2 linked regions of the Drosophila melanogaster genome follow. The protein of the gene in region 1 interacts with the protein of each later gene in a pairwise test. Each region holds a gene or a part of one and is shown in the gene's direction. Other genes may lie near its edges.

Region 1 (4,436 bases):
TCGCAAAAATCTAGAGATCATTTGTTTCAATCAAAATAGTTGCTCTACGAATTTTGTTTTACAATGCCAATGAAAGCAAATAATCCCATTTTGTACCAAAAATCATTTTCCAATTTTACGCCTAGAAAATAACACAATTATTCTCGTAACAATTGACAGAATCATTCAAATATGGATTGTTATACCTCGTTAAGTTTGTATTTAAATTCCCAATCGAACTGTGTCCAAAAATGGGAATTCTATTTTTTAGCCATTTTTTGTAAATTTTGATGATGTTACCCCTTCCGAAAATGCGAAAAATGACTCAAAAATTATTTTTTCTAAATTGGTCCAAAAGTGATACAGATGGTTAGCCTTCGTTATTAGCTGCTCAAAACAGTTATTTCTTTGGTTTTATGATCATTTTTAGTCAAGTTATGATGAAAACGCTCATCTAAAGTTGTTTAATTTTTGCCAAAATCATTTTTTTCGATTTTCCGTCATAAAATAGTCAGTTTTTTGGCCACAACTTTAAAAATAATTGTCTGAATACGGAATGTCATATCACGTTGAGTTCGTATTTAAATTCCCAATCGAACTGTGTCCAAAAATGGGAATTCCATTTTTTAGCCATTTTTTGTAAATTTTGATGATGTTACCCCTTACCGAAAATGCGAAAATTGGTCCAAAAATTAATTTTCCTAAATCGGTCAAAAAGTGATAGGGATGGTTAGCCTTCGTTATTAGCTGCTCAAAACAGTTATTCTTTTTGCTTTCTGATCACTTTTAGTCAAGTTATGATAACAATGCTCATCTAAAGTTGTTTAATTTTTGCAAAATAATTTTTTTCCATTTTCCGTCTAAGATCTCAGTGTATGTCTATAGTCTTTTGGATGCTTTTTTCTCGTACCTGTCTTTCTATGCGTTTGTTTTCCATTTCACCTGCCCAGTTTTTCGTACTCATCGTTGGCATTCCAAAAAAATGGAGTGCCACGTGACTCCTCGTTGTGGTGGTTTAGGGGGGGGGGGGGGAGGACTATATAGGTCGGGCGGATTGACGCCGCTTGTGCATTGTTTCGAGGGGGCGGACAAAGCACACAAATAACTGTCAAAGTTTCAATTCTTTTCGAAAGTAAAGCCCGGGTAAAAAAAAAAAAAAAAACAAGAAACCGAATCCGAATCCAAAAGCAAACAAAGGCAGAACAATGGTCGAGCAAATTGAAAGCTCTCGATTGGTATTCCTCTATTCCGGACTTGTTTTCCCACTTTTCACTTTTCATTAAAACAGAAGCAGCACGGAAGCGTTGAAAAAAAATCCGCAAAAAACAGCGAAACTAAAATTGAAGTCGCTCTACAAATGGATAAACTCAGTTTGGCAATGGATTTTATTTACAGATCTCATTCAAGGTTCAATTTATGAAACGATTAATAGTTAAAGCAATAAATTTTTTAAAGGGCCGTTCAAGTAGGTTCCATTATCCTTACATCCGCGATGAATGCATGGCTGTTCTGTCCAACCGACACGATAATGCACATACTCATACATATGTACATATATGTTGCACATCAATCCCCCTTTCGCCGACATGCAAAGTGCAACACCTCTCGTTCTTCGAACAATTTTAATTATTTCCACACGCAGCAGCGACGCACTCAGTAAGTCCATGGGCGGCAGAGGGAACCGGCAAAAGAGTGGTCGTTGGAGTGGGATGGTGGGGGGTGGGGGGGCGAACCCGACCGCAGGGAGTGTGTTGTTGGCTTTAACGGGGAATTAAGTCGGGCAACAGGAAGTCAGCGAGCACAATAATTAAGATGAGCGCTCGAGGGGCAATTATGTGACATCAACTTGCCAATTTTAAAACACCCCCGCCCCCCCGCAATCACGAACTCTCCGCATCCCTTTATCCTTCAGTCGAAGGATAATGCGAACGTTTTGGCCAACAGTGGGCTGTGTATAAAGATTTCTAACCATATATAAATATTCTTCGAACTGCATACTTTGCGACACATTCATACACTCAGAGAAAAAAACCTTTGTAAACTTGTAATCTTGGAGTTGGAGTTTTCCGAAACCAGTAGGCCCGTCTCCAACTGGCAACACTTCATTTCACCTAATTTGACAGGGACACACACAACACGTTTGCTCTACGGTTCGGTCGGTAGTACCAAATCTTATATACACTACATCTTCACAGTATAGCCATATATATATATTAATATTATCAAAATTTTCCACTAAACCTGCTTTGGAATGAGCACAGAACATCTGAATGACGCGGCGGAGTCCGTGAGTGCCCGGAGTTTGGCTTTGGATCGCGCTATCGTCAATTTGGTGCACCAGGCCCGTCGCCTCCATTTGAACAGCGTGAATGGCTATACATCTCTGGAGGCATCTCTGGAGAAGGCAGTGCCAGAGTTGCTCACGACTAGGAGTGATACCGCACACCCCACCACCACAGCGACCAGCTCGGCAAGGTCTTTCCCGAAGCGTAGGCCCAGTAGCCTAGCACCACGACCTGCGCCCAAGGCTTTCAAAATGCGCAAGACCGATACGCATCTGAGGACCCCACGTGTCGTCCAGTGTAAGACGGCCCGTATCCCGGTGACGCCACCACCACCGCCACCCTCGCCGCGTTGCCCAAAACCTGGGGAACTTAGTTCGGCCATGGACATGGCCGATCTGCTTCGGATCGAGATCGCCGAGACGGATGCACTGTTGGATCAAATGCTATTCGATGCCAAGGCACTCGAACGCCAGGTGGCGATCCAGTGTCAGTTGCAGAGCGATGCGGAAATGATCCGCAGCCTGGAGATGGAGTACAGTGGGCGATCCATGAGATATCTGATAGAGGCCATTCAGTCGGACTGCGAGAGCCAGGATGTCCAGGATCTCTGGAGCCGATGTCAACGCTCTTTGGAACGCCACGCGGAGCGACAGACGGAGCTGGAGTCCAAAGAGGGTCTGTATCTGGATCGGAATCCAGGCAAGGGCACCGGCAAGGGCACCCAAACCGATATGGCTGACTCTCAGGACGAGATGCTACCTATCTCGTCCAATTCGATTTGCCAATGGTTGCGAAGGGCGATGGGTTCTTTAAGCCAAGAGGATCAGGTGCAGGAGATGGCCATCTAGCGCAGGCCAGCCTTGAATAGTATTTGAATAAAGATACACAACTCTAAAATCACTTGTGTGCTCTGCTGTTTTAACGATGGCCCATAGAAATATTGAAAAGCTGCGATTAGACTAGAACTGCGAGGATTAATTAACTACTACTTGAAAAAGTATATATATTTGTTAACTGATTTATACAGTGATACAGCTCAGTGATTTGACCGAACTCATCTTACAATCTATCTATCCATTTAATAAAAAGATATTCGAAAATTTCTCATTTCTACATTTCGAGTGAAAGTACCACTGTGCCGCCGCAACTTTGTGTCTGCCTTTGAATGGTTGTGTGAGGAAAGTTTTCTTGTTAAGTTGCAGATTGAATGGCGCCGGTAAACACGGTGCGGCAAGTGCAGGGCTCCCAGCTTCGAGGACACCATGCATCCATGCCTCTGATTGAGCCAAATCCTGGCTCATAACTAATTGCCAGCAGCGACGACGATGGCGCTGGCAGCGGTGCAAAGTTTAAATTAAGTTGCGTGTCATAGTCGAAAAGTTTTCCACTTATTCAAAGAGGCACGTGCTCCACTGAGCACTACTCCACGGAGAAACTCCTGTCCTCCACTGGCCAATAACGCCAGCGAAGACGGAGGATTGACAAAAGAAATAATAACCAACGGATGGGAAATATATGCATTACTGCTTTACGTGCAAACAAAGTTGCAAATATAATGGAAAATCCATAAATCACAAGAAGCTACTGATAAAGTTAACCACTTAAGTAATTTAAAATGATAAGTTAACTGGGAATCAACATCGAAAATGCCGTGGTATATTTAATATTTTTTGGATTACATTTACACTTAGTTATTCCAACTAATAAATAGGCTTCTTTTATTTAGACATTTAATCAAATGCATAACATTTAAATGGAATTTTCTCTGCATGTGCAATCTCTTACCGCCATCACACACAGTTTTGTTGGGTTTATCACACTTCATCTTAGGATCATTTCCAGTTGATATATGTAGCCAGTGAATGGCAATCCGTGCTGTTCGTCTCCTCAATTCGTTTTCACCTTTGACTGCGGCTGCGGCGACGTTGATGGCGACTCATCGAAGTCCAGGTAATCTGCGTAGTCGCGTCGCTTGGACAGCGACAAGGTCCAGCAGATGATCCACAGCGGCAGGAAAATCGTGCAGATGACAAAGTACAGCCAGTTGCCATAAATCTGCAATAGGAAAGTATTTTAGTTTATTATCTATGTATGTTAGTAGTGGCAACTGAAATCTTAACTTACCACGGAATCGATAAGTCCATAAGCCGAGGCATCCATGGCCGCGGTGGC
Region 2 (6,764 bases), on another chromosome or scaffold:
AGTACGTGGAGAGCGATGCGGATGAAGAGCTCCTCTTCAACATTCCCTTCACCGGCAACATCAAGCTCAAGGGCATCATCATAAGTGGGGCCAATGATGACTCCCATCCAAACATGGTCAAAATGTAAGGAACAAAAGTCAAGGCTGCTTTAATATTACTATATTCATCATATATCTTATTTTTCAGCTTCAAGAACCGACCCAGGATGACCTTTGATGATGCCAGAGCAAAGCCCGACCAGGAGTTCCAGCTGACCCGCGATGCCCGCGGAGAAATCGAGTACTCACCCAAAGTGGTCACCTTCTCCTCCGTGCACCATCTCTCCCTCTACTTTCCCAGCAATTTTGGCGAAGACATAACACGCATTTACTATATAGGTAAGCTCACAACAATCTATGTTTTATCTGTGTTCCCAACTAAAACCAAGTCACTATTCAAAGGTCTTCGAGGAGAGTTCACAGAAGCTCATTACCATGGCGTAACCATATGCAACTACGAATCCCGTGCCAATGCAGCGGATCACAAGGAAAAGGCTTTCGATGGAGTCGGCAGAGCCATCCAATAGGGTTATAGAGATTAAAATTTACAATTTAATTGAGTATCTCTGTAGTGTATATATTTTGTGATCATTTAAGGCAAGAAATGTTTTTGTATTCGCTTAACTTATTGAGCATTTGTATTGCACAGATATTGTGGGCTAAATCATACTAAGTATATTGTGTGGGTGGAATCACATCGGGTCCTATTTTCATGCCCATATTGGGCACTTTATCCGAATGGATTTCAGCCGTGACCTCGGTGAACAGCTTGTCCCACTGCCAGAGATCGTCCTTCTCGTTGAGGCTCTCCTGTGGAACCAGGCAATCGGTGAGGATTGAGAGATCAAAGCCATCCACAGCTGAAAAGGCGTACTGGGAAAGCAAATCGGAATTGGCCTCCTTCAAAACAGCAGATCGTGAGGTGCCAATACTACAAATTACAACTTATTATCGTAGTGAAGAGAAATATAGCAGCTTCTGCTTACGTTGGCGGTTCTACAATCTCATTGAGCATGATTTCGTCCTTGACATCATCCATGTCTGGGATGACGGGAATGTCATCCGTTGGTATGGAATTTGTAGCCGACTTTGTTTGTTTAAAGCGCTCACTAAAATGAATTTTATCATTATAACAGTCGGTGGAAAGTGAAGTTATTGTGATAAACTTGTACTCACTCATCAAAGGAGTTTTTCTTGGACCTAAAAAGATATAGAGCAATCAGTAATGTGCCTAATTCGAGCCTAATCATACCCACTTTAATCCTTTGAGTCCAGAATCCGCCCAGCCACCTGAAATGCGACGAATGGGTGGTCGATGTGACTCGAATTCATTGTTGTATGTGGACGAGGTGGCCGTGTCCGAGGTGGTCGGTGGGGTGCCCGCCTGGACATTCAGCGTAATGTCGATGGAAATGTCCTTGGAGCCCCCAGCCGCCTGGACATCCTCCTCCTTCAGAACATCGCGACTCTTGGAGCGCCGACCCTTCCTGGCCGTCGTCTAGGGTGGCAAATAAATCGAAACTTCAATTTGCATCCATTTAAACAGGGTTACTTACCTTTCTTATGGTCATCTTGAGTTCTTCGGCCCAGTCCATCATCTTTTGTTTACGTTTATCCTCAGCGTTTCCAAGGCAACAAGTGGTCATGGTTACTCCGTGGGAATGTTCAAGTTTACTAATGGAGTTTGCCATTCGCAACGCGATGCGATAGTTTTCAAATCAGTTACCTATCGCCGATGACAGTTGGCGGAGCTTCAAGTGGCCAAAATAAACAAATATTTATTTTCTAATAACGCAAAATGCTGACGGACACGGAAGATGACTTCTTTTTCGAAGAGGATAAGATGTAAGTGGCCATTGAAAGCAATAAATTGCTGCAACACCTACGCCCAGCTCTATTTACGCACAACAATCTGTTGCGATGTGCCGAAAAGTGTCTGTTAAAAATCAATAATTGCCACCAAACTGAAACATATTGTTGGAATCAGGCCAGAACCGCTGCTCATCCAGTTGGATGGGGATGGTGCTCAGGCTGTCCGGCAGCCCAAGGAACGCACGGAGCAGCGAGAGCATGCCTCCGGTTCCGTCGCTCCCAACGAGGCCACCGTTATGCTCTGCTCCCCGGCGGGATTCTCCTGCGATTCCGCATCCGGGGACAGGTTCGGCATCGAGTCCGCCAGTAGGCAGAAGTATGAGTTAGACCGTCTGTAAGTCAACTCCGTTGACCCGGAATCGTTCCCATACTATTTCCTGTGGCAGCTCTGTTTTCTAAGTTCTGGTTTTTATAGTCTTTATCCTGTAGTTTCTACCAAATTAGCTTACTCTTGGTTTTTTATTGATTTTATTCTTTTAAATTCATAAATTGGTGTATTTATATTAATAGTAGCATATACACTTCTTTATTTAACTATTAAAAATTTAATTTTGATTCAGTTGCTGTTTTTTTTTTAATTATTTACTTTTTAAAGAGCGAACACAGTACTATATCCATTTTTTGTATAGTAAGAACTACAGAACTAGAACTAACAAGATTGTTGTTTATTTAGTTTATTAATTCCACCGAAAAAGGACAAATGTGAATTTCCTTTGTAGAGCCTTAGATGCTTATACTTAGGCTAGCTAGTATACAAACTATATTGAATTCGAGGTGTCCTTTGGCTTTCCAAGTCCCATCCTTCGAAAGCGTTAGTATCACGATGCCTTAGAATAAGCTGTCCCGATCAACAGTTTTCCCCATACAGCCCTAGCCAAACTTGATAATAATCCAATGGCCTTGCTAGAACTGGTAACATGGCTAATTAGAAAATCGCACCAATCGAAGTGAGTACGTATGGAAAACTGATATGGAATCACCAGCACATAACCATATATACTTCAAATCATGTAGCACGCGTAGATCACGCTTCAAACTATATTTCAATATCTTAACTTCTTACCAACCTTTATGCAGGGGCATGACTGTCAGCACGAATGCTGTCGTCATTACAAAGGATCAGAGCAACCTGATTGGCATCAGCATTGGGGGTGGAGCACCCATGTGTCCATGTCTGTATATCGTGCAGGTAAGTCTGAAAATCATGAACTCATAAACTCTCACAAAGATCTTTTTGCTGCCATATTCAGCTTGTTTCAAATTTAATTTACAATCTCATTTCTAGGCTGCCTGAGAATCTTTTCTAGCGGTGACCCTTGTTTGCTTCCAGGGATTCGGCGTAGCCTTGAAATTTGTCATTTTGCGTAGCTTAAAGTACTCGCTTCTTTCCCGTGCAAACCAATCGATGGTCTGCTGCTCCAAACGCCGATCCATCCGTATCCTTTTCCTCTCGTCATACACTTGGCGGCGCAGAGCACGCTCCGACGTATGGAGATGAAAAGGTTTTGGATGGGTAAAGGAGGACTTGACAAGCGGCGTAAAGGGCTGCCGGTTGAGGTAGTCCATAGAAGAGCCTGGATTGATTCGGGGCACAAAGTCGGATGTCTTTCGGCTCTGCCTTTGCTTCTTTAGGCGCTTGTTTAAAGCGACCATTGACGTGGCCAGCGTGGCAGGGCATCGGGGCTTCGTCACCGTTTGCAGAGAGTTCAGGTACAGCTTGCGCCTTTCCAAACGACGATGAGATCGCTCGAAATCGGGCACAGGTCTGCTCCGGAACTGAAACGCATTACTTTGCATGTTGGCCTCTCGTTTTAGCTTCTTGCGTTTCTCAGTGTAAACCTTCTGGAATTTGCATACCCTTGGTGTCTGTTTTCTGGTCGTCTTGAGCTTTTTGGGCTTTGCCTGGCTTTGGCCACCACCCGCCTGTGTACGCTTGCGCTGATGCTTTTGCACGTCCCGCTCCTGAAGCGCCGCCTGCAGCCTCTTATCCAACTGGTCGAATCCCGGAATCAACTTGGGTCTCGCATGGGACTCATTGCTTAAATCCTTTACGGACCAATTAAACCAGTTGGTGATGGTCATAATTTGGCTAACCAAATCGGTTTCAGTTGCGAAGGACTAATCTTAAACGATAATTTTGAAACTTAAAGTTATGAGTACTATTTGCTTGGTTTTATAAAAATGTTTACGTTTTGACACAAGTATGATTTACAAACTGTAAACAATAGCTTTCCAAAAAATGCAATGCTATAAATGTCACATCTTGTAAACTCTAGATCTTCGATGGAACACCCGCTGCTCGTGAGGGATCCCTGCAATCAGGAGATGAACTGTTGGCTGTGAATTCGGTGAGCGTGAAGGGCAAGACGAAAGTGGAGGTGGCCAAGATGATCCAGACGGCCACCGACGAGGTGGTTATCCATTACAACAAGCTGCACGCCGATCCCGAACAGGGCAAGACACTGGATATCATCCTCAAGAAGCTGAAGCATCGGATTGTGGACAATTTGTCGAGCAATACGGCGGATACGCTGGGTCTATCCCGCGCCATTCTGTGCAATGATTCGCTGGTCAAGCGACTGGAGGAGCTCGAGGGCACTGAACTGATGTACAAAGGACTCGTAGAGCATGCTCGCCGGATGCTCAAGGCCTACTACGATCTTCTGCAGACATATAAATCCTTTGGGGATTGCTTCACCCAAATATCGGTCCATGAACCGCAACAGCGGGCATCGGAGGCGTTTCGAACGTTTGGCGAGTTCCATCGCACCTTGGAGAAGGATGGCTTGGGCATCATCAAACAGATAAAGCCAGTGCTGGCCGATCTGGGAACGTATCTGAATAAAGCCATTCCGGACACAAAGCTCACGGTGCGTCGCTATGCGGATGCCAAGTTCACATATCTTTCGTACTGCTTGAAGGTCAAGGAGATGGACGATGAGGAACATGGCTTTGCTGCCCTGCAGGAGCCACTTTATCGCGTCGAAACGGGCAACTATGAGTACCGTTTGATACTGCGATGTCGCCAGGATGCACGCAGCAAGTTCGCCAAACTCCGCACCGATGTTCTCGAGAAGATGGAGCTGCTGGAATGCAAACATGCCATGGATCTGAACAAGCAGCTGCGAAGCCTGCTCGAAAGTTTGGCCGAACTTCATAGGAGTTTGGTGGATCGACTAGACTCGCTGCCACCGCTCTTTCCCATCGAAGTGGACTTCAAGGAGACGGACTTTCAGTACAAGTCGAGTACCCTGAAGCCGCAGGAGCTGGACGATGATGAAATCGAGGCCAACAATCATCCGCATTCCACTCCTTCGCAAGTCGATTGCGGTTTCGAGGCTGTCGAACAGCCGGCGGCAATTATAAATGTGGAAGCGGCCAAGGCGTCCGTTGATTCGTCCACCTTACAATCCGCCAGCGAGAACGAAACGTTGCTCAAGGAGCTGGGCCTGTACGATGTGGATCTGCTCTCCAATCCGCAGACCATTAGCAACCAAAAGGACTCCATTGCTGCCCAAAATGATGGCTACGATTTCGACTTGTTCTTGAACCAGGCGACTGCAGCCACCACCAGTTTGGAGCGCGATCTCATGTCCTCGAATGCGGAGGAGATGGACCTGCTACTGCAATAGGCTACTTAGTACAAATATTAAGTAATGTGTTAGATAAATATTAAATGTTTCAGTATTTGGTGTAGATATCAAAAAATATTAAAAGCCTTTCAATTTAATAGTAGCTTAGACTTTCATTTATGTTTTATTTCTGTAAAGTTTAACTTTATGGAAAGCAAATTCTTTGCTCAACAACTGATTTAACTTTTTACCTTTGTACTAGTTTGTTTAATTGATGGAATTTCTTATATACTATGTTGTTTGAATAAATAAGATAGTAAATAAGAAGTCCTGTATTTACAAACTTGCACATTTCGTCCTGTTTTGATTTGTGTAAAATCCTATATTATCTTATGTTAAAGAAACCACATTTTCCACACTCGACTTGTTAGTCCTGCAAAACAGTTTCACGCAGATAGACCCAATTATGGATATTCCACCCAAGACCACAAAGTAGCTACCGTAAACCACGTACTGATCCCGCGGCTCCAGAGCGAATCCAACTCGCTCCACAACCGCAACGGTCAGAATAGTCTGCAGGATCAGACCCACCAACGTATTGATACCGAAGATCAAGCCGAAACTGTCCTCCACCAGATTCTCGGCCACCACGGCACCCGCCACCGTGATGATGAAGAAGAATACGGTGCAGAAAAGCACATAGTTCACGTAGGCCACCCAGATCAACTGCGTCTTGGCGGCATAGATGAGCAGAGCGCCCAGGGCAGCGGCACAGATGGATATGCCCATCATATACGATCCCCGTCGCTTATTGGAGTTCAGCAGGCCCGCCAGAATGGCTCCAATAGCACCCAGCAGCGTGGCCACGGCCTCCACTCCGCCATTGTAAACACTGAGCTTATTCGGTGCCACCTCTTTCCACAGGAACTGGATGTAGGAGATCACCTAGAGGATTTAACATAATTAGTTTATTACACACTTAACTTCTTGCAATAAACGGCCAACTTACTTGAACTTGACCACAGGTGGCCAATGCCCACCATATGCTCCACTGCAGCACGACGGGATTGGAGTAGGAACTAACGAGGTGGTACCACAGCAGGCGGCATGCGTTGGCAAAGGAGAACTTTGGTGAGGTCTCTTCTCCGTCGGCAATGGTAATCTTCTCGGAACCCGCGTAGAAGTAGAGGCTACGCGGCACACTGGGCAGGAACAGGGACACGGCCAGGGAGATTAGCTGCGTGGCCAGCGAGAGGTAGTGCAGCTGCCGGTAATCCATGC

The links. The genes of interacting proteins can lie anywhere in the genome.
Region 2: the proteins of CG15764 (region 1) and PICK1 interact in a two-hybrid assay, tested with the Drosophila melanogaster proteins (one large-scale study listed by BioGRID).

What each region holds. Positions count from the first base shown.
Region 1 is NC_004354.4:5,866,952-5,871,387, forward strand, and holds CG15764 (uncharacterized protein), read left to right. Parts: upstream 1-2,143; 5' UTR 2,144-2,230; coding exon 2,231-3,112; 3' UTR 3,113-3,315; downstream 3,316-4,436. Other genes in the region: GAA1 (glycosylphosphatidylinositol anchor attachment 1), read right to left, coding at 4,152-4,319, 4,389-4,436.
Region 2 is NT_033779.5:12,693,279-12,700,042, forward strand, and holds PICK1 (protein interacting with C kinase 1), read left to right. Parts: upstream 1-1,754; 5' UTR 1,755-1,837; coding exon 1,838-1,884; intron 1,885-2,026; coding exon 2,027-2,245; intron 2,246-2,557; exon of another isoform or gene 2,558-2,862; intron 2,863-2,913; exon of another isoform or gene 2,914-2,988; coding exon 2,989-3,100; intron 3,101-3,147; exon of another isoform or gene 3,148-3,192; coding exon of another isoform or gene 3,193-3,993; exon of another isoform or gene 3,994-4,045; intron 4,046-4,187; coding exon 4,188-5,543; 3' UTR 5,544-5,639; downstream 5,640-6,764. Other genes in the region: CG6153 (uncharacterized protein), read left to right, coding at 1-124, 188-378, 442-566; IFT43 (intraflagellar transport 43), read right to left, coding at 709-970, 1,026-1,148, 1,216-1,239, 1,296-1,537, 1,596-1,634; CG5781 (uncharacterized protein), read right to left, coding at 3,193-3,993; CG17036 (uncharacterized protein), read right to left, coding at 5,874-6,428, 6,493-6,764.